Linked DNA regions of Elephas maximus indicus. The protein of the gene in region 1 purifies or fractionates together with the protein of each later gene. This does not show direct contact. Links are inferred from orthologs where the notes say so. Each region holds a gene or a part of one and is shown on either strand. Other genes may lie near its edges.

Region 1 (10,615 bases):
ATGGGGCAGTTCTACTCTGTCCTATAGGGTCACTATGAGTCAAAATCAACTCAACGGCAATGGGTTTAGTTTTGGTTTTGATACTTCCCTATCCCCTTTGAAGGTCAGCATGGCCACGTGATTTGCTTTGGTCAACAATATGTGATATCAAAAGTGACATATATCACTTCTAGGGAGAAACTATAAGAGCCAGATGCGGTTCACAAGGTTCGCTTCTCATGTAAGCTTGTTTCACAGCTGGTGCCTCCGTGGACCAGCAATCAACAGAACACCCCTGATGTCATGAGAGTATGTTAAACTACTGAGATTTGGGGGTTGTTTGTTACTTCAGTATAATCTAGTCCATCCTGACTGATGTAGATTTACAGGGTTTACTGCACAATACCATTTAGTACACTACACACAGAAACATAAAACAATGCTATGTATTTCCCGAGGGTACACATGTGCCCAAACAAATGGGCCGAATTATAAGATGATTATAGCTCATTATAATTAAATTCTCTAGAGTGGGTGAGTAGGTGCCTGTGAAAGGAAAAGAAATGGGAAGCATTGTGGAGAATAAAGGGAAAAATACAAATGAAAATGAGAAGGTAACAAGGGTTTATTAAAGACATTGTGAAAATATTAGAAATTTCATTTGCTTATGATTCCTTCGACAATCATCTGTGCCCTCATTATGTGCCAGGTACTGTTCTAGGCATTACTTACAGAGAGGGGAGTCAAAAAAAGGCAGCCCTATGCTGCCAAACCTGTTGCCACTGAGTCGATTCTGACTCATAGTGACCCTAGAGAACAGAGTAGAACTGCCCCATAGGGTTTCCAAGGAGAGCCTGGTAGATTTGAACTGCCGACCTTTTGGTCAGCAGCAGAGTTCTTTAACCACTGTGCTACCAGGGCTCCTATGGTATATAGTAGAGATAGATATTTTAAATGCCCTAGTAAATAATTACAGACAGTGATAAGTGTCATCAAAAAAATCAGGTGGCATGAAAAAAAGGGACCTATTTTAGATCAAGTGGTCTGTGAACATCTGTGAAGAAATGACGTTTAAGCAGGGGGATGAAGGTTGTTACCCCCTAGCTAAGGGAAGAGAGAGGGATGATTCATTCCAGGCAAAGGGAACAGTACGGTACGTGTAAGGGCCTGGAGGGAGTATATATCATCCCAGGGAGGAAGTGAAAGAGGGCCAGTGTGGCGGAAGAAGTGACAGGAAATGTGGTCAAAGAGGTGGGGTGGAGGCAGGGGATGCAGCGGGCAAATCACTCAGAGTCTCACAGCCCAATGTACCAACTGCCAGAGTCGACCCCACTGCCCTCGATTCATGGTGACCCCACGTGTGTCAGACGAGAACTGTGCTCCACAGGATTTTCAATGGCTGATTTTTCAGAAGTAGGTCACCAGGCCTTTCTTCCGAAGCACCTCTGCGAAGACTTGAACCACCAATCTTTCAGTTAGCAGCCAAGTGGGTTAACCATTTACACCACCGTTGTATTTTACTCTAACTGCAATGGAATCACAAAAACATTTTAAACAGAGGGATGATGTGATATTTCCAATTTATTTCATTCTAACACTTAAGACCCTAACAATATGCTCACGTTTTTGCAAAGCTTGCAGAAGATATTTTTACATTCTTTTTCTTAAAGGACCCCCAGAACTAGCATACACTTCAGGTCATGTATAACCCAGCTCCATTCCTGAGTGGGATGTTAAGTTAGAAGTAATTCCCAAGGGGCCAGGAACCCACGTGGCACAGGCAACCTTGCCAGTTTGGTACTAAGAATTCTTTACTTTAAACGGATTTTTTTCTTCTTCTTTAGTTCACATTGTATGATAATGAGCAAAACTGTGCCCTGGTAATCAGAGAAATCATGAGAACAAAAGAGTTCTTTCTGCTGGCAGACCAAGAGAGGGGAAGCCTTGCTTAAGAAAAACTCTAAACTCTCAAGAGTGAAAGGTGAAGATGTGGGTATAGCTTTTCCTTCATTAGTGCTAGGAAATGTACGGGAACAGTCCCTGTTCGTCTCAGGCAGCCTACACGAAGATGCCTCCTATTGTAACACAGCAATGAGTCATGGAGGTAGATGCAGAGGGCACAGAAAATTAAGCTGGGGAGAGAGTCCTTTGTCCAGGATCAAAGGCACCTGAACACACACAGGCACCACCAGAAATGGAAACACCTTTCAGTTTCATTTAGCCTTCTCGGCATGTACCCAGTAACAAAGGCACCAAAACCAAAAAAAAAAAAGAAAACCAAACCCACTGCCCTCAAGTCGATTCCGACTCATAGGCACCAGCAGCTCACATTTATGAAGACTTACCAAGTATCAATTGCTTTGTATGCATTCCCTCATTTAATCTTCACAACTACCCTAAGTAGGTTCTATTATTACTCCCAAACCTAAGCCTTAGAGAGGCTAAGAGACTTGTCCCAGGTCACAAAACCACAAGTGACAGGGTCGGGCTTCAAACCTAGGCTAACTCAAAGGTCAACCTCTCAACCACTGCTGAGAGCCTCCCAGTTCCACCCACTTTTTTTCTGCCACCAAATCCTGGGTGGCTTCTTTTTATCCTCCCTTTACTGTTCTCCTTTAATGAAATTCATCTCCCCTGAAAGAATACAGCTGTGGTGTCAGAAGGACAACAGGTACTTCTACTCAGTTCCCGTCTCCCAATCAAATAGCAGGATGGTCATGCCACACTATGCAGACAGAATCCAGTCTGGTCAAACCTGTCCTGAAGATGGTAAGGGCTAACGAGGGCCCCAGGCCCTTGAGGGGCTTTCAGTCAGCTTAAGAGGACAAACACTGTACACTAAAACGGAATTCAAGTTTGCAAATACAACTCACGACCTGTACAAGTCAATATGTATAAAGCAGAAAACAGTGTTGAGGGGAGCCTAAAGAAAAAGCAGGTCTGAGGAACCTGGCTGAGTGCACACCACAGGTCTGTCACTGGCCTTGTGATTATTACAGGGATGAGCAGAATCACCAAGTCCACAGGTCTCCAGGCTATTAAAATCTAGGTGGAGAGGAAGGAAAGCTGCAGAAATCATCAAAGGCAGAAGGTCCAGGTCTACTCTATTCATTGTATCAGCTAGCTTCCTTAAGTCTAGAGTGTTCATGTAAAAGATTCAGAATCTTATCTTTTCTGGATATTTCTCCAGCCAGCAGGTCTTTCTCCCTCACAGGTCTTGTCCCTTACCCAGGACTCCAAAGAGTTGTGGGAGCTCAGGAACCCCCCTGAAACAGGCAACAGCCTCACCTTTATTTAATGAATAAAAGTGCTGGTCTGTGAGCAACACCAGAACCTGCAAATATGAAACATCTTGTGTGTGATCTCCATAGTCAGGATGTTCGCATCCCGAATCAGGAGTTTAGGGCTTATGGTGAAGTAAGGAAAGCCAAGGAAGGCACTGATGAAGAGACAATTTGTTGAATAAATGAATGAAGCGGAAAGGCGCTCCCTTGGAGGCAAGACAGTTCCCAGGACAGGAAGGAGGCCAAAACCCCGGACCCTCTAAAGTCGGCAAAGGAAAAGCCGCGAGGCGGTTCAGGCAGCTGCCCCCAAAGAGCCACTCCCGACCCACAGGTGTCAGGCACGAAGGTGATGCTCGCAGGTCCCACCTCCCGGAGCCCTTCTCAAAGGCACAGATGCGATCGTAACTCTTTCCAAACGTTCTCCCGTCACAGGCCAGACCCCCCGTGGATCACATTTAGGAAACTGCCGCAGGGAGGGGGAATGAACCAGCTTTGATTTTCTTGGGGAAAGGGGAGGGGCCAGTAGCCAGGGACGACAGGAAGGGTCAGGAAGGGAGGAGAAACCGAGGCTGCCCGGGTGACTGGTCTGGGTCAGGAACACAATCAGTGCTTAGTCACCGATACCTCGGCGGCCGGGAGTTGCTCGCCCCCCGCCACCCCGAGACGTACGTGACCAAGTCGACCGGCGCCCTGCGCCCCGGCTCCTGCGCCCGCCGCCACCCCATACTTACTCCGCCGAGGTGGTCCCGTTCACCGCCGAGCCGTCGGGGGCCGGGTTCAGCTGGATGGGCGTCGGCTTCTTCTTGGGCATTCTGGACTAGGGAAGGCGCTTCCAAGTCGGGCGGAGAGCGGCTCCTCTCGCTTCCTCCCTGTGCGCTGCCCTGCGCCCGCACCCCAGGGGCCAAATCTGGGCCGCGGGCCAGAGGCTGTTTTCAGAAGGAGCGCCCGCTCGGGCCCTCCGGCGCCCGGGGCCCAAGCCTGCCTCGGGGACCCCGCCTGCCCGCCTGAGGCTAGGCTCAGCGTGCCGGGAGCCCAAGGGCTTCCCCGCCGGCGCGCAGTGGCTGCGCGCGAGCGTCTCGGCAGCGCGGGATTCCCTCCTTCTATCCCTCCGTCAGCCGGCCCTCGGGCTGAAGCGGCCCCTCGGAGCGCACACGAGAGCCCCGCACGAGCTGCAGCCAGAGACCGTGCAGCCGCCGCCGTAGCCGCGCTCCGAGCCGCGCCGCGCAGCCGTCTCAGGGAGTGTCTGGACGGCGGGGGAGGAGCCGGGAAGGAGGCCTCGCCCCGCCTCCCCCGGGCTGCGGCGCTTCGCCACACCTCCCTCGGCTCCGCCCCATGCCTGGCCAACAGCCAATGGGAGCAAGCAGTGGCGGCAGATACGCGGAAATACGTCACGGGGGCGGAGCGAGCAGCCCCGGGGGCGGGATATGGCGCGGGCTCCATAGCACCCTCTGCTGCCCCGAGGCACCCCGGTCCACCGGGAAAGGAGGTCGTGCGCCCAGGTTCCTGCAGCGAGCGGCGAGGTGAGCTCTTTCTCATCAGGTGCCAGGTCAGACCTGGTACCGGGCGGCCTAGTCCTCTGCGGAATAACAGGATAAAAATAAATAAGGAGAGGGACCCCTTCTTGTGTGCAGGGGAGAGAAATGTGAGGGATGGAGAACTTGTTCAGGGACTCCTTGCACCAGTGCACAGTAGTGATAGTAATAATGTCCTTTTTTTTTTTTTACTGATGAGGATGCAGAGAGATGGGTACTCAGTGCTGATGTTATGGTAAATTGGTACAACCTTTTTTGAGAGCAGATTGGCAATATTTTTTAGAAGTCTTAAAAACCCTTTTTCTGAAACATATTGGAGAAATAAGATGTGAATAAAGAGCTTAATAAAAGAGGCACAATATTTACTCAAAAATGCGCTTTTCGCTCTTCCTTTCCCCCCTTCCCCTTTCGAAAGTATTCAGTCCTAAAGACAGTAGGTGGCCAGAAGGGTCGCTATGTGTCGGACTCGACGGCAACGTGTTTTTTTTTGGTTTGGTGTGAACTCACAGTTTTCAGTATATATGAATAGAGGTAGATGTGTGCATGCCTGTGTGTGGTAGATGTGATTCTGTCTTTATTTTAAATTTTGATATTTTATTCACCATGAATTTTTTTGCATTAATTTTGTGGGGTTTTTTTTTTTTTTTTTTAGTATTGCATTAAAATATCTTGGTTACTGAGTTTTTTGGCACCCTCTTAAATTTTGCACCCGTGGCAACCATTTCAAAAGGAGCCGTAGTGGCGCAGTGGTTAAGCGCTCAGTTGCTAACCAAAAGGTCAATGGTTCCAATCCACTGGCTGCTCCATGTGGCAATCGGCTTTTGTAAAGATTTGCAGCCTAGGAAACCCTGTAGGGCTGCTATGAGTCGGAATGGACTTCCCAGCAGTGGGTTGGAGCGAGCATTTCACTTGCCTCACCCTTGTCCTGGTTCTGGTGTGTACACATGTATTCCCAAACATGTCCCCTGAGGGACCTGAGAGTAGGGACACCCCAATAGCAACTCTTAGCTTCTAAATACCATTCCCCATGAAAAGGATCGAGGACTCCTTGGAAAAATGGCTGATTCCAGAAGTGCCCAGGGAAAGGACAGATGAACCTGGAACATCTTTTTGTGCAAGAAAGCAAGGAAGTACAAAAAAAATCACAGATACTTCAAAAGGACACAGAAGCCAGCTTGAAGAGACTCCTACTAGCCAAATTGTATGACTTGAACATTAAAATAAATAACAATGGCAAAAGGTTATAACTCATTGAATAAAATAGGAAGCCTTGAACCCATACTGAATAAACTATTAATTAAAGTTTGATGAAGAACTGGATGTTTACAAGGATTCAGCGTACCTCCTCACAAAATGCAAATTCACTACAAAGGGGAAAAGAATAACTTTACAGTGGGGAAGTCTGGCACATACTACTTTAATCTTAAGCAATTAAAATGAGCATCATCAGTAGTAATGTGTCCCTTCGTGGGATGCAATGAAAAGAACACAGCATTGCTTTTGTGATATTCCTGCTGAAGATGCATGGCTGAATCTAATCATAAGAAAACATAAGAGAAACCCAAATTGAAGGACATTTTAGAGGATTTACTAGCCTTTCATCTTCAAAAATGTCAAGGTCATGAAAGGAAAGATGGAAGAGTTGTTTTAAACGGGAGACATGACAAGTAAATGAATTAGATACTTTTGCTACAAAGGACATTATTGGGAAGATCGGTAAAACAAGAACGGATCTGAGGACTAAGACTGTAGTAATGTTTCAGTGTTAATACTCTGATTTTGGTAGTTGTAGTTTTGTAGGTGAACATTCTTGTTGTAGGAAATAAGCACTGAAGTCTTTGAGGGTGATGGATCATCAGGTCAGCAACTACTCCCAAATGGTTCTGGGAGAAAAAAGTTCTTTGGATATTTTTTTTAGATCAGTTTGTAATTCTTTCAACTTAAAAAAAAAACAATTATACGTTTATTTTTTAAATGATATTTTATTGTGTTTTTGGTGAACGTTTACACAGTAAATTAGGATCCCATTTAATAATTAGTACACAGGTTGTTCAGTGACATTGGTTACATTTTTCACAATGTGTTAACATTCTCATTCATTCCATTCTAGATGTTTCATTTTCATTTATCTGGTTTCCCTGCCCCCTTACCCTTTTATCTTTGCTTTAGAGTAATTGTTGAGCATTTGGTCTCATATAAATGGTTTTAAAAGTACATTTATTTTAAAAAGACTAGAAAGCTATATACACCAAACTGTAAACCAGTGGTTATCTAGATGATGATGAAATTACGTAATAGTTTAAAATCGTCTTTTTCTGTTTCCACTTTTTTCATGTTAAATGTGAACAACTTGTAGTATCAAAGTAAAATAATAAATATTAAAAAATTAATTGAAATTAACTTTTCAAACAATGTGTGTTAAGGAACAATTCAGGCTGTCTGAATGCTGGTACAGTTTTATATTTGCTAATGCAAATAAATGCTAGTGGAATTTTGAGCAATAATTGAACTTCTCAAGACCTCACTTTCACCATGTAAAAAATGTGAAGTTCCTTCCAATACTGAAATATTATGACTTTATGAATGCTGTGAAAACCCTGGTGGCGCAGCAATTAAGTGCTATGGCTGTTAACCAAAAAGTTGGCAGTTCGAATCCACCAGGCGCTCCTTGGAAACTCTGTGGGGCAGTTCTACTCTGTCCCATAGGGTTGCTATGAGTCAGAATCAACTCGACGGTACTGGGTTTGGTTTTTCTTGGTTTGAATGCTGCTGAAAGGGTCTGCCTCCATTGAGCAGTGTCCCTAAACCCTCATCATGCCCTGAGAAAGAGTCCACATCAAGGACTACCCCAGTGACTGAAGTTTGTAGAATAGCCCAAGGTAGAAGAGTTTTCTTCATTTGCACTTCAGATGAGTAGGGATTCATCGGTTCTTTTAACTTTTCCTGAATGCCTAACATAGGTGCCCACAATGTGATAAACATTTTAACAAACATGTTAGGTTAAAGGATGTGAAGTTACCATTTTTGTAGCTCAAAAATGGTCAAATATTAGCACTTTCATGTGGTTTGTCACATTTGGACATAGTGTAGTGGCATCACAAATGTGAGAAACCAAGAAATAAGAGGGCAGCCAATGATGAAAATGCGTCATGAACTGAGGACTACATTTAACTCACCCCTCTGCACCTAAGGTCCAAAATCAAACAAAACAGACAAAAAAACAGCACACACTTAAGAGAGAAAGACCGTGTTTCAATTCCAGTTCTGCCTTAGCCAGATTACTTAACCTCTCTGGGTTTACTCACCTATAAAATTTGAGTAATACTACCTACTGCACCAGAGAAGGAGCCCTGGTGGCACAGTGGTTAAAGTGCTCGGCAGCTAACCAAAAGGTTGGTGATTTGAACCCACCAACCTTTCGATTAGCAGCCAAGCACTGAACCACTGTACCATGAGGGCACCTTCTCTAAGGATTACCTGCAAAGCCAAACCGTTGCCATGAAGTCAATTCCAACTCAAGTGGCCCTATAGGTCAGAATAGAGCTGCCCCATCCAGGGAGCACCAGGTGGATTCAAACTCCCAACCTTCTGGTTAGCAGCTGTAGCTCTTAACCACTATGCCACCAGGGTTTCTCTGTAAGGATTACAGCCTTGGAAACCCTCTGAGGCAGTTCTCCTCTGTCCTACAGGATCACTATGAATTGGAATAGACTTGATGGCAATCAGTACTACACCAGATTGTTGTGAGCATTAAATGAAATCATGAAAAAACAGTACCGAACACGGTAAAGGGAAACCCTGGTAGTGCTGGGTCAACTGAATATCTGTATGAAAAAAAATCAGTCTTAGTCCCTACCCCACACCATAACTAAAAAAATCAACTCTAGATGGATTGTAGAACTAAATAAAACTTTAAGGGGAAAATATCTTCAAATTCTTTGTTTCAAATTTCATGGGTTTTTTTCATTATAAAACTTATGCCAGCTTATTATGTGGAAGGAAATCCTGGTGACATAGTGGTTAAGAGTTCAGCTGCTAACCAAGAGGTCGGCAGTTTGAATCCACCAGACGCTCCTTATAAACCATATGGAGCAGTTCTACTCTGTCCTGTTGGGTTGCTATGAGTTGGAATTGACTCAACCTCAACGGGTTCAGTTGGTTTTTGGATTATGTGGAAAAAAACCCAGAAAAGTATAAAGAAGATAATAAAAACCATTCATGATATACTTCTCAAAGATAACCTTTATTTACATTGCAGAATTCTATGTTCATCTTCAGCCATACTCACATGCTTATTATAGACTCAGTGAACATTATGACATTTTCAATTTATGACCTTTATTTAGAGGAAAGCTGGTATTTACCCTCTTAAAACTTAAGATCTTTTACTTTCTTAATGTGAAAAATTTAGTTGGGAAATTCAAAATAAAATATGTCTGGTTATTGCAAACAAGTTTTTCCACATGAAGACATTCTATCTTACTTTTTTTTTCTCATTTTAATACCACATTTTCTTATGCTCCAGTCATGAGAGAATCTGACTCTTTACCAAATGCTTTTACTATCATTATTCCCTTTGCAGATAATTCATTCTTTTGAGTAGAGTGAATTTTTAAAATTTTTTAAATAAATGTCTAAGGAATCTTACCCATTGTCTAGATTTTTCAGCTTCTGTGAGTTTGGCAGCTGTTACTACTGCGTAAAGGGTCACGGTGTGGAGGGTAACACTACCCTCCCATTCCCCCCTCATACCAGGTACATCCGCTTCCTCAATTCTTGATGTCAGACATTCTGATTGCAATCAAACCACTGGGTTATTCTGGGAGTCTCTTAATTGTCACTTGCTCTTCATTTAAAAAAAAAAAAAAAAAGATGCCTCAACAAGGTAGGGATGATGTGATTTTCATTTGGTCTCTAAGGATGTGGCTTAAACCAGACAGGATGTAGGCTCTTGCATCTTTTTTTGGAGGGCTGCGGGGGTAGGGACTTGGTCCTGGTTTGGCATTCCAGAGAGGTGTAGTACTTGGCTTTTTATTCTCGTGTAGCCCAGTGAAAGAAGATATACGCGGACATACCAGCTTCCTAGAGGGCAGCTGTGGAGAAGGAAGTCTTGACTTGCTTTGGAATCACAGCCCAGGATCCCGGATATTCTTATTCTAGAGGCTGGTCTGAGATTAAGCAAATCTCTTTCCCTGGCCAGAACATTCACTCCAAAGTTTGTCATCACTGTTTTTTTTTTTTTCCTACTTGGCGGAAAACCCCTGCATCATTCTTTTCCTGCCAAATGCTTTGCAAAGATTACAAGCAGGAAATTTTAAATGAGAGTGACCATTTGAGTGGTAGTGATCTGGGAGCTGTGATAAGAGCATGTGAGGCCTGTACAGGAAGAGACATTTTAAAGCCTGACTGTCAATCTTTTTATAATTCACACTCTTGCTCAGAGCCAGGTCAGCTCATAGAGAGCCAAGAATTTGTCTGAAGTGTTTTATCTCTGGCAGTGAACTACACACGACACACCTCCTGGGTTTTTGTCTGTTTTAAGATACTGTAAACTATAATTATCGATGAGCAATGTATTCTATAGTTTTATACAATCTCAGGGATCAAGAAACCTCTTCTGCACAATGTACCGGATTGCTGTAATTGTACAGTCTCATAAAATGTATGGTTATTGTTATTATAATGATGGTATTGCTGCATCACTGTCATTACTGCTGAACCGTATGGCCATTTATCCTTGCTCCTTTGTGTGCCTTCTCTGAATAGACAGACAATTGTGACTGGATCCTAGACTGGCCTATGAGGTAGGACTTTTGCATT
Region 2 (10,849 bases), on another chromosome or scaffold:
GCCATCGAGTTGATTCTGACTTATAGAGACACTATAAGGACAGAGTAGAACTGCCCCATGGGGTTTCCAAGGAGCGGCTGGTGGATTCGAACTGCCAACGTTTTTGTTAGCAGCTGACCTATTAACCACTACACCACCAGGGCTCCAAACTTAAAAAGGAGTATGCCGATTTGTCAAAGCATAGAAAAGGTACTTGTTCCTTATCTTAGGCCTATGACAAGGAGGAGGCATTGTTCAAACTACTCTTGGTAAGTCTTTACAAAGAAATAAAACGCTTTAATTCTCAATGTTTTCAATGTTTTATAGTATACTAAATACACATTAGTTTTATAACTGAGAATAAGTGTTTTTAATATTTTGGAAAAATAATTTTAAAGATCATATGAAACAACTGTAATTTCTACTGTTGATCACTATAACTGCTTTGCACATTTTCAACTTGCACAGTCATTTTTATGCCCTGCACTCCCATGCAGAACTAGAACTGCCTGCACTGCTAACCACTAAGTTAAAAACAGAACCAGCAGCTTATCTTTGTGGTTTGCCAGTATTAGTAAAAATAAATTTATTGCATTAACAGAAAATCAGTGGTAATAATTACTTAACATTTCAACAGTTTTCTCTCTGAATACAGAAGAAAAACATGGACAAATCAAAACTAGAAAATATTACTTATTTCTAGTGCTTTGTAATTAGGGTAGTTAAGGACACAAGTCAACATAGGCAACTTAACACCAAAAAAGACAAGCAAAATCCAAACAGTTTTCTATCTACAGGAATTAACTGATATCTAAAATCTTTTAAAAGTCAAACAGATTTGGGAGATAAGAATTAAAAAAAAAAATCTCACCACATATTCTCCTATATTAAATCAAAGATTATTACGTCAATTTTGAATCATCTTATTCTAGAATGTTAGAATGGATGTCTCAACTCACATCCCTCTCTCTCATTTCCCGCAACTGTCAGGAATTCTACATTATTTGTAAATGGATGTGGGTGTAAGGGAAAGTTTAACTGTCAGGGAAGGTACCATCCTTACACAGGAAATTCAACAGAAGTGACAAAGTCCTTTGAAACAGTAAAATATCAAAAAGGAAGTTTTCTGACATTAACATAAAAGCGTAATTTATACAAAGGGGCAGCAAATGGATTATGCACAGGTTAAAAAAAAAAAAAGGTCTCCTGATTTTTCGAGCATGAACTGTTACCCTAGTCTAGCATTCTCGGGTTACCTACACTTAGCAATTAGGTCTTAAAAGCAGTATTAAATGTAAAGGCAGGTTATTAGCTTTTTTTCTTCCCTTGAAACTACTGTAACTACTTCAAAGTATAATTCAATAAACTGTTATCATAGTATATTTGAAAGAACTCTAAAGCGACAAGAAATGTGAGTTCTAGCCTTCCAGCATCCACCAGCTGTTTAACCTCAGAAAAGCCAGGTGACTATTTCAGGCCTCATACCTGCAAACTCAAAGGACATCATTGGACTCACTTAAGGTTACAGTCAGGTATTTGAAAGTATGAAATAATAACACTTTATACATACATAGTGATATTAGTCTAAAATAGAAACAAAATATTACCTACATAAAAATATTCAGTAACAAATTAATTTTTTACCTTGGTAATTTTTTATACAGGAATCTCTTTAGGTCCTAAAAGAGAAAAATATTAAAAAGCCATATTATAATAATGTATCTTCCAATGGTTTTCTGGATACTATCCTATCCACATTTCAGGAACTTGAAATCATATTCATAACAATTCCTGCTTGTACTTTATCCTTCTTTTTCTGATTTTGATACTTAATAACTGTGTGACTTGGAATAAGTTAAGTAACCTTTTCTCTAAGCCTAAATTTTATTACTTATAAAGTAAGAATACTCATAGAGCCTATTTAATAAGATTGCTGTTACAGTTTATTGAGAAGATGCATATAAAGTGATTAGCATACCTGGTAACAGAAAACAAAAATTACATTACACGTAAAATCAGATTATACTTTCCATACTATTGTATATCCTGTTGCTACTGCTGTGTTTGCTTGAGAATATATGACTATCTTGCTATATTTATAAATAAGATTTTCTAATATCACTTTTAATGATTCTCAGATGATTACAATGACAACACAAAGTGTGTTTAAGCATGAAACGTTAATTAAACCAAAATAACAAAACCAGTTGCCCTAGGGTTGACTGCGACTCATGGCAACCCCATTGTATTACAGCAGAACTGTGCTCCATAAGGTTTTCAATGGCTGATTTTTCAGAAGTAGATCGCTAGACCTTTCTTCCGAGGTGCCTCTGGGTGGAAATGAACCACCGACCCTTCAGTGAACAGTGAGTGCATTAACCATTTGCACCACCCAGAGACGCCTAAATCATAATCAGAACTAAAGAAATGGAAGACTACTTTATTTTGCCTCCTCGTATCTCTCATCTGGGGAAAATGACCATCTAGGCTTCAATTAAGACCTCTATGTAGATGAATCAGATACCATCTATTCTTCAGAACCTCTAATACCTACAATTGTCTAAACCTGAATGCATCGCTACCAGCTTACCTTGCTTTCATCTTAATACACACACACACAGAGAAATGAACTCATCCTGTTGCCCCTGAATCCAGATTTCCTCAATTTCTTCTTCTCTCCACTAATGGCACTACCAATCCCCTGGTTTTAGGTTTGAAACCAAGAGTTAACATTTAACTTTAATTCACGTTTGCCACTTTTAAATCACTTGTCAAATAAAATGTTTTTAAATTGATCTTTTCCTGTTTTTCCACAGACACTGTTATTTTTATTTCTTTTACTATTTATGACTTGCACTAATCTCCCAACTGGTATTCTCGTCTCCCATTTCTATCCTATTCCACACTGCGCCAATCATATTATTCTCCTTCTCTAAAGCCTTATTGCAGTGGTTCTCAACCTTGCTATAGAAATTACTTGGGAAGCTTTAATAATATTGATGCCTGGGCTGGAGGTATTCCCTGGGTAGCCAAGGTTTGAATGGCCCTCCAGCTTTCACTGGATTACGTACAAACTCTTTAGACATTTGAGGTTCTCTACAACATAGTCTAGGTCTAATTTTACAGTTCTGTATCCTCATACATATCCACAGCTCCAACTAAGCTGGTCGACTCAGTTTCTCCACACACACCTCTCCCTTCTTAACTCTTGGACTTTGTTTATGCTATTCACGCTACTAGAAATACTTTGCTCTCGATTTTACTTTTAAAAAAAAAAAAGATGCTACTCAGCTTTCAGAGCTAAATCTCAACCATCAAATATTCCAAATAGTCTTTTCTGATAGACAAAAACCAGATGTAATCCTTTCCTCAATTTTCACACTATTATGTATGCATATCTATGATCACTTACCTATTCCTCTATTAATCTTAAAAACCCTTAAAGAATTATCCCTTAATCATCTTTATTTTACCCATAGCCCTTATCATAGCAACTTTTCCAAGGCAGATGCTCAATATTTAGTGATTTGACTACAGGTGAAGAATTAAGGTCTCAAAAATATAACCGATGGTACTAAAAAAATAAGCGGTGGGTAAAGGCATAAAAAGTTCCTAAATCTTTGAACCATATAATCTTGCAACCTAAAAGGAAAAACTGGATTTGTATTCATGTTGAATGACCATTCAGTGTGGTGGATAAGAATATAGCCTTTGGAGCCAGACTGTCAGCGTTGTTCTCTTGACTTCACCACTTACTAGCTGTGTAACCCCGGGTGAGTTACTTTATTTTTTTGTGGCTTTGCATCACCATCTATAAGACGAATAATAATCGTACCTACTTCTAAATGTTGTTATAAGAATAAATTAGTATATACTCAATGTTTGGAAGAATATTCGGCAAGATAACAGGATGTAAAATATAAACATTAGTATCAGTAATTCTCTGCACTTTTCAGTAACTAGTACAATTAAGTCCCCTAAGCTTGGAATTTGGGTCTTACTGCTGTGCTAAAGAGGAATTTCAAGTTGTCACAATAATCCCAAGTGAGACATCATGACTGGTTACTGGAAAGTAAAGCATTCAGTGCACATGTCCTACTAACCACACAGTGATTGGGAAGACTGCAGACCATCATTTAGAAGCTCAAATGGTAAACACACAGGGCTTCTTTGATGTTCACAGGATTGGGGTGTGAGAATACAATCTTCTCACCCTCAAGCATATCTTAAGAGTCTCTCCTCAAACCCCATACTGGACAGAAACTCAGAACCCCACAAATCCATTCTTATCAGTCTCCCACTCCAGACCCTAGGGGAAAAAAATCGGGAGGAACGCCTAAAAGAAAGGTCTGTACATGGGGAGTTCTACCTCTCCCCGCCCAGTATCCTTTCCAAACTCCCACCCTCTCCTTTTTTCCTGTGTAAGAATGTCAACTCACATCCGCCATGATGAACCCCCTTCTCTCGCAGGATCAATCTCCACGCCTGGAAGAGAAACCTCTGGTGACTATTCCTTCGAAGCTTCCTCGCCTTCTCCACCCCCAGCCGACTCCGCGGCTCTAGGACCGTACCAAAGAGGCCGAAGGAGTAGGTGTTCCCCAAGACCTCGACGGGAATCCGGGATGTCTTACCTCAGCCCACTCCACCACCACCACCCCGAGATCTGGGCCCAAAGGCTAGGAAAAGTGGTGCCCTCTCCCCCTTCGTTTCCCCCACCAACAGCCCTCCCTCGCTATCCCCGGGCACAAGTCCCTATGCCGGGCAAAGTGGCGCCAGTTACCTGGGTTTCCGCTCCCGGGAATGCCCGGGTTCTCTCTGCGGGCACTTCAGGGACACTAGGAGACAGGTTCCTCCCCAAGCGGCCCTCACATGATTTGTGACCTCGTCGGCCCCCAGGAAGCACTTCCTACGCCTCCGACGCCCGGTGACACAGGATTTCCGGGGACTGTAGGCGGAAACTGAGCGCTTTTTGGCTCGCGGTGCTCCGCCCTGCCCCGCCCCGCCCGCGATGCCCCGCCCCGGCCCTTTCTGCCTCGCCCCGCCCGCGCTACCCCGCCCCTCCCGCTTGCCTTGGGCCGGACGGATTTGAACTCTTAGGCGATTCTTAAAGAGATTGCTGGGCCCGAAAGCCCCCAGAAAATGTATGCATGTTCTTGTGCAAGAAGACATTTTTGTGCGGAGAACGTGCATAAATTTTATTAGTTTTTTAGGGCCAGTACCTTAAAAGTTATTCTTGTAAATGAGTGGAAGGGAGGGCGTTAACGAGCTGTATGAGATTGATTGCCCAGGGATTAGAAATTCCAGATCTACAGGTTTCTGGTCCCGATTTCCTAGTCTCTTTTTGGCTTTCCCATGGATGTCACCCTACATGCTCTTTGCTCAAGGTTTTGTCTAGATTGAATCGAGGAGCCATGGGCTTTCTGGAGCGCTCGGGGAGTCAAGCAGCACCCCAAGCTTCTGCTTCTTTTAAGGTACGCACTGAACTACGTTTTCTCATTGGTTCTTGACATGTGGGATTGCCTTCTAAGCATTGCCTAAAATATTTTTTGCTTGGTGCCTTGCTTGTTTTCACGTTTAACAAAAACCTACAGTAGGTAGTAGGAAGATTACGAAGTATGGTAAGGGGGAAACCCTCTCCGATCACCTCAGCCCAGGGTTTCTCAATCTCTGCACTCCTGATACTTTGGGCTAGATACATCTTTGTTGAAGGGGGTTGTCATGTGCATTTTAGGCTGTTTAGCAACATCCCTTGCCTATGCTCACTAGATGCTAGCAGTCTTCCCTCCTCCCTTCCCCCCATCACCCCCCCCCACTTTTGTAACAACCAAAAATCCCCTGGGGGGCAAAATCACACCCCAGTTGAGAACCACTGCCTTAGCCCCTCCTAGGAAAACTGAAGTTCATGGCTTTAGTTGCAGATTACCTCTGGTTTCATTTATTCAAAGCTGGGTAGTATGTCTTGGAAAATTCCGAGATTTATGGAAACTTGTTTAAGACTGATCTTCATTTCCCGCCCCTAAAAGCAGGAATGCAAAAGGGATTAAGTCTAGCCTAAGACATGGTGAAAAGTCTTGGATACATATTTCCTACAACTATACCTGACAAGAGGCAATTGTAAACCATAGAGTTCCCAAATGTCACAAATGATCTACTGTAATATAATTTTCTTAAAATGCTGTCTTGACAGGGAACATAACAGAATCCCTAATGGAGCAGGAGAACAGTGGGATGCAGTACTCAAATTGTCATAAAAAAGACCAGACGTAATGGTCTGAGACTGGAGGGACCCTGAAAGTCATGGTCCCTGGACCCTCTATTAGCCCAAGACTGGAACCATCCCTGAAGCCAACTCTTCAGACAGGGCCTGAACTGGACTGTAAGACAGTATCATTTTCTGGTGAGGAGTGAGCTTCTTGGCTCAAATAGACACAGGAGACTATGTGGGCAGCTCCTCTCTGGAGGCGAGATGAGAAGGTAGAGGGGAACAGGAACTAGGTGAAAGGACACAGGAAATACAGGGTGGAGAGGAGGAGTGTGCTGTCTCATTAAGGGGAGAGCAGCTAGGAGTACATAGCAAGGTGGGTTTTTGTATGAAAGACTGACTTGATTTGTAAACTTTCACTTAAAGCACAATTAAAAAAAAAAAAAAATGCTGTCTTGACTGCTTTGAGGCCCTGGCTGGAGGCTAGTCCGTTCACCTTCTTCAGCAGCTGATTAATTCCACTCTCCAACCACTCCCCTCATCAGGTTCTCACATTCCTGGGCCACTATGCACCCACCCTAATTGTCCCAGGGCCAGGTACCTAACAACTCAGGACAGCCCTCTATACCCCCTGAGCTTGCAGAGTTATTCAAGAATGCCTATTCCCCAGGAAACCAGAAAAACCTAGCTAACCCTGCCCTGCTTGCCACACATAAGCCTTTTCCTATAATTTGTTGTTACCTTCGCTGAGTCGGAATCGACTCGACGGCAGTGGGTTTGGTTTGGGTTTTTTCTCTGGGTGCAACCCCTGTGTGGCCCTGCATCATGGTGTGTTGTGCCTCCCTGCCTCTGGGAACTGTGAGCACAATAAACCTAGTTACTTTTCAGGGTTTCCCTGGCTCTTCTTTCCCTCCTCACACCAGACTTACCATCCAAAAAATCTGTTTGAGCACCTACAAATTTTTACAAGTGAACTTGACAGTTCCATAGCAGTTGACACCATTAAAGATTACTTCCTTTTCCTTATTTAAAATCTTTGATTTCTTAGTTTCTGGGACACCGCTTTATTTGTTTCAGGTCCCCACCCACTCAAGTCTCTAACTGTTCAGATGATGGCATTTCCCAAGCTTATCTTGGGTTCCTCTGCAATGTTCTCTTTCCCGTGTTCTGAGAATGTGAGTCTTTCCTCTGAGTTCTAGATTCACATTCTTAGCTGCTTGCTGGATGTTGGATATTTCTACCTACATACCTTACTGTCAGCTCTAACTCAAAAGCTCTAAAAAACTTGGGTCTAATAAACCTGTTTCTCCTATGTCTGTACCAGTACCATGATTCTACTAGTCAGGAATCATGTTTGGCTGCTCTCTTTCTTTCCTCATGATATGTCTTTTCTTCCCTAACAATGATTTTTGCATCTGTATTTTTTCAATTCTTGATTCAGACCGTATTTCTACTCAGCAAGACTATATCAATAGCCATTTAATAACTGGCAGATGAACCTTCTTAAAACACTCATTACTGCCTGCTAAGAAGATCTTTAGTGATGTACCATCACAGACAAAGTTGACAGTCTTTAATCTGGCACTAATACTCTATTTTACTTCTGAGTACTTTTTTTTTTAATTGAACTTTAGATGAGGGTTTACAGAACAAACTAGTTTCTCATCAAACAGTACACACATTGTTCTATGACATTGGTTAACAACCCCATGACATGTCGACACTCTCCTTTCTCAACCCTGGGTTCCCTGTTACCAGCTTTCCTGTTCCCTCCTACCTTCCAGTCCCTACCCCAGGGCTGGTGCACACCTTTAGTCTTGTTTTGTTCCATGGGCCTGTTCAATCTTTGGGTGAAGGGTGAACCTCAGGAATGACTTCATTACTGAGCTGTAAGGGTGTCTGGGGGCCATACTCTCAGGGTTTCTCTAGTCTCTGTCAGGCCAGCAAATCTGGCCTTTCTTTTTGAGTTAGAATTTTGGTCAACATTTTTCTCCAGCTCTGTCTGTGACCCTCTATTGTGATCCCTGTGAGAGCAGTGACTTCCAAATACATTCTAGTGTGAATCTTCTACTCTAGCCAAATTGATTACTTCATCCTTTTGGTTAGCAGCCATCGTGCCACCAGGGCTCCTTCACAGCATACCAGTACCTGTATATATAGTTAGTAAAGACACTGCATATATTGTTAAAAAACCAGAATAAAAAAAGTTGAGATCTCTGTTGTATATAACAGGTAAGAGAACTTTAAGAGAATCAGAAACAAAGGCTCTGATATCACCAATAAAGTTAGAATGAAATGCATGATACTGTATTTCATCGATTCTGAGATGGATTTCCCCCTAACATTTTAACATCTCTGAAACTGAGATGTATCTTAAATTGATTGCTTATTAGATCCGATGAAATACAGTGATATTTTCCCTTCGATTTGACTGAAAATATGACAGAGTTTATTAACTTTCCATAGCCTATATTATATGGGATTACAGTAGAAGTGGTGCTGAACACAGGGTGGGAGATTGGGGTCAAAGACAGTGGGAGAGTATACAAGATCTAAGGAAAAGATCAGAGTGGTTGGTTTCTAGGCATAATGAAGCCAGGTTCTAGTTTCCTCTTCCAAATTTTATCCCATAAATTTTCTAGATATGCAATCATCGCTCAGGACAGAAAAAGTTAATGTTTTATTTGAGTAACAAGAGGCTCGTTAAATTATGTAAAACAGTAATACTTCTACCTAAAACTGAAACCAAACCCATTGCTATCAAGTTGATTCCGACTCATAGCAACCCTATAGGACACAGTAGAAATGCCCCATAAGGTTTCCAAGGAGCAACTGGTGGATACGAATTGCCGACCTTTTGGTTAGTAGCCGTAGCCCTTAACCACTGCGCCACCAGGGCTCCAAATTTTAAAAATCCTTAGTATTTTTGCAATAGCAACTTTAAAAGTAATTAATAAAATACTGAGATTTAACTCATAAGTCAACTATATCATAATAAATTCTACATTTGTTGGGTCCTTCTTCATTTTCAGTATGAAATATTGTTTGGAATAAAGAAGCCAGTTTAAGATTGTGTTTTAACACATCCATTTGAAATGGGGGCATATCTGTAATACTACCATAATTGTACAAAGAGAAAATATTGCCACTGAAGTATGAAGACTAAGAAACAAATTGTAATTCTAAACTGACAGATACCTAATTTGCAATACAAAATATGTTCTTTGAAATGTGTTTCAAAAGATGCTGTTATGTTATCTTTGTACATGGGATCAAACTAAGTAATTTATTAGTACATTAAAGAGCAATGTAACTACGAACTAGAAGCCCAGTTCCACTTTTTTCTTTAAAAGCAACCAACCTTTAAAACTACACATAGCTGTCAAAATAAAATAAAATAAAACAAAAGTAATTTTTTGGTTTTGGACACTCCATTGCCATCCATTTCCTCGGAGACCTGGTGGTGCAGTGGTTAAGCGTTCAGCTGCTATCCAGAAGACTGGCAGTTCAAATCCACCAGCTGCTCCTTAGAAACACTATGGGGCAGTTCTAATCTGTCCTATAGGGTCGCTATGAGTCGGAATCAACTTGACAGCAGTCCATTTCCTCTGTAATGTAATAATAATGGTGGCCTACAGCAAAAGGAATGCCTGGTAGTGTAGCAGGTAAGTCCTTTGTTGGGCTGCTAACTAAAAGGTAGGCAGTTTAAACTCACCAGCCACTCTGAAGAAAGAAGATGTGACAGTCTGCTTCCATAAAGATTACATTCTTGGACCCTATGGAGCAGTTCTACTCTGTCCGTAGAGTCGCTACGAGTCAGAACCAACTGGTACAAGACGACAAATGCATGAAGCTAAGTAGGCTTTCTGGTGTTGTTGTTAGGTGCTGTCAAGTCAGTTCCAACTCATGGCCACCCTATGTACAACAGAACAAAACACCTCCCTGTCCTGCACCATCCTCACATTGTTATGCTTGAGCTTATTTTTGCAGCCACTGTGTCAATCCATCTCATTGAGGGTCTTCCTCTTTTTCACTGGCCCTCTACTTAGCGTGATGTCATTCTCCAGGGCCTGATCCCTCTGATAACATGTCCAAAATATGTGAGATGAAGTCTCATCATCCTTACTTCCAAGGAGCATTATGGTTGCACTTCCTCCAAGAAAAGATTTGTTCATTCTTTTGGCAGTCCATGATATATTCAATATTCTTCGCCAACACCACAGTTCAAAGGTAACAGTTCTTTTTCAGTGTTCCTTATTCATTGTCCAGCTTTTGCATGCATATGAGGTGACTGAAAATACCATTACTTGGTCAGGAGCACCTTAGTTCTCGAGGTGACATCTTTTCTTTTTTAACACTTTAAAGAGGTCTTTTGCAGCAGATTTGCCCAATTTAATATGTCATTTGATTTCTTGACTGCTGCTTCCATGGGTGTTGATTGTGGATCCAGGTAAAATGAAATCCCTGACAACTTCAAAATTTTCTCCTTTTATCATATTTTCTTATTGGTATAGTTGTGAGGATTTTCATTTTCTTTAGGTTGAGGTGTAATCCATACCGAAGATTGTAGTCTTTGATCATCATCAGTAAGTGCTTCAACTCATCTTCACTTTCAGCAAGCAAGCTTGCATATCACAAATTGTTAATTAGTCTTCCTCTGATCCTGAT

Evidence for each region.
Region 2: the proteins of MAP2K1 (region 1) and LAMTOR3 purify together in Homo sapiens (affinity purification with western blotting; 3 studies listed by BioGRID, with this or other methods). This does not show direct contact. The link is inferred for Elephas maximus indicus from reciprocal best matches to the Homo sapiens genes MAP2K1 and LAMTOR3.

The regions. Positions count from the first base shown.
Region 1 is NC_064831.1:56,487,709-56,498,323, reverse strand, and holds the start of MAP2K1 (dual specificity mitogen-activated protein kinase kinase 1), read right to left. Parts: upstream 4,512-10,615; 5' UTR 4,075-4,511; coding exon 3,995-4,074; intron 1-3,994. UniProt on the Homo sapiens protein: Dual specificity protein kinase which acts as an essential component of the MAP kinase signal transduction pathway.
Region 2 is NC_064823.1:53,259,608-53,270,456, reverse strand, and holds the start of LAMTOR3 (ragulator complex protein LAMTOR3), read right to left. Parts: upstream 4,915-10,849; 5' UTR 4,760-4,914; intron 4,465-4,759; 5' UTR 4,428-4,464; coding exon 4,419-4,427; intron 1,659-4,418; coding exon 1,624-1,658; intron 1-1,623. UniProt on the Homo sapiens protein: As part of the Ragulator complex it is involved in amino acid sensing and activation of mTORC1, a signaling complex promoting cell growth in response to growth factors, energy levels, and amino acids.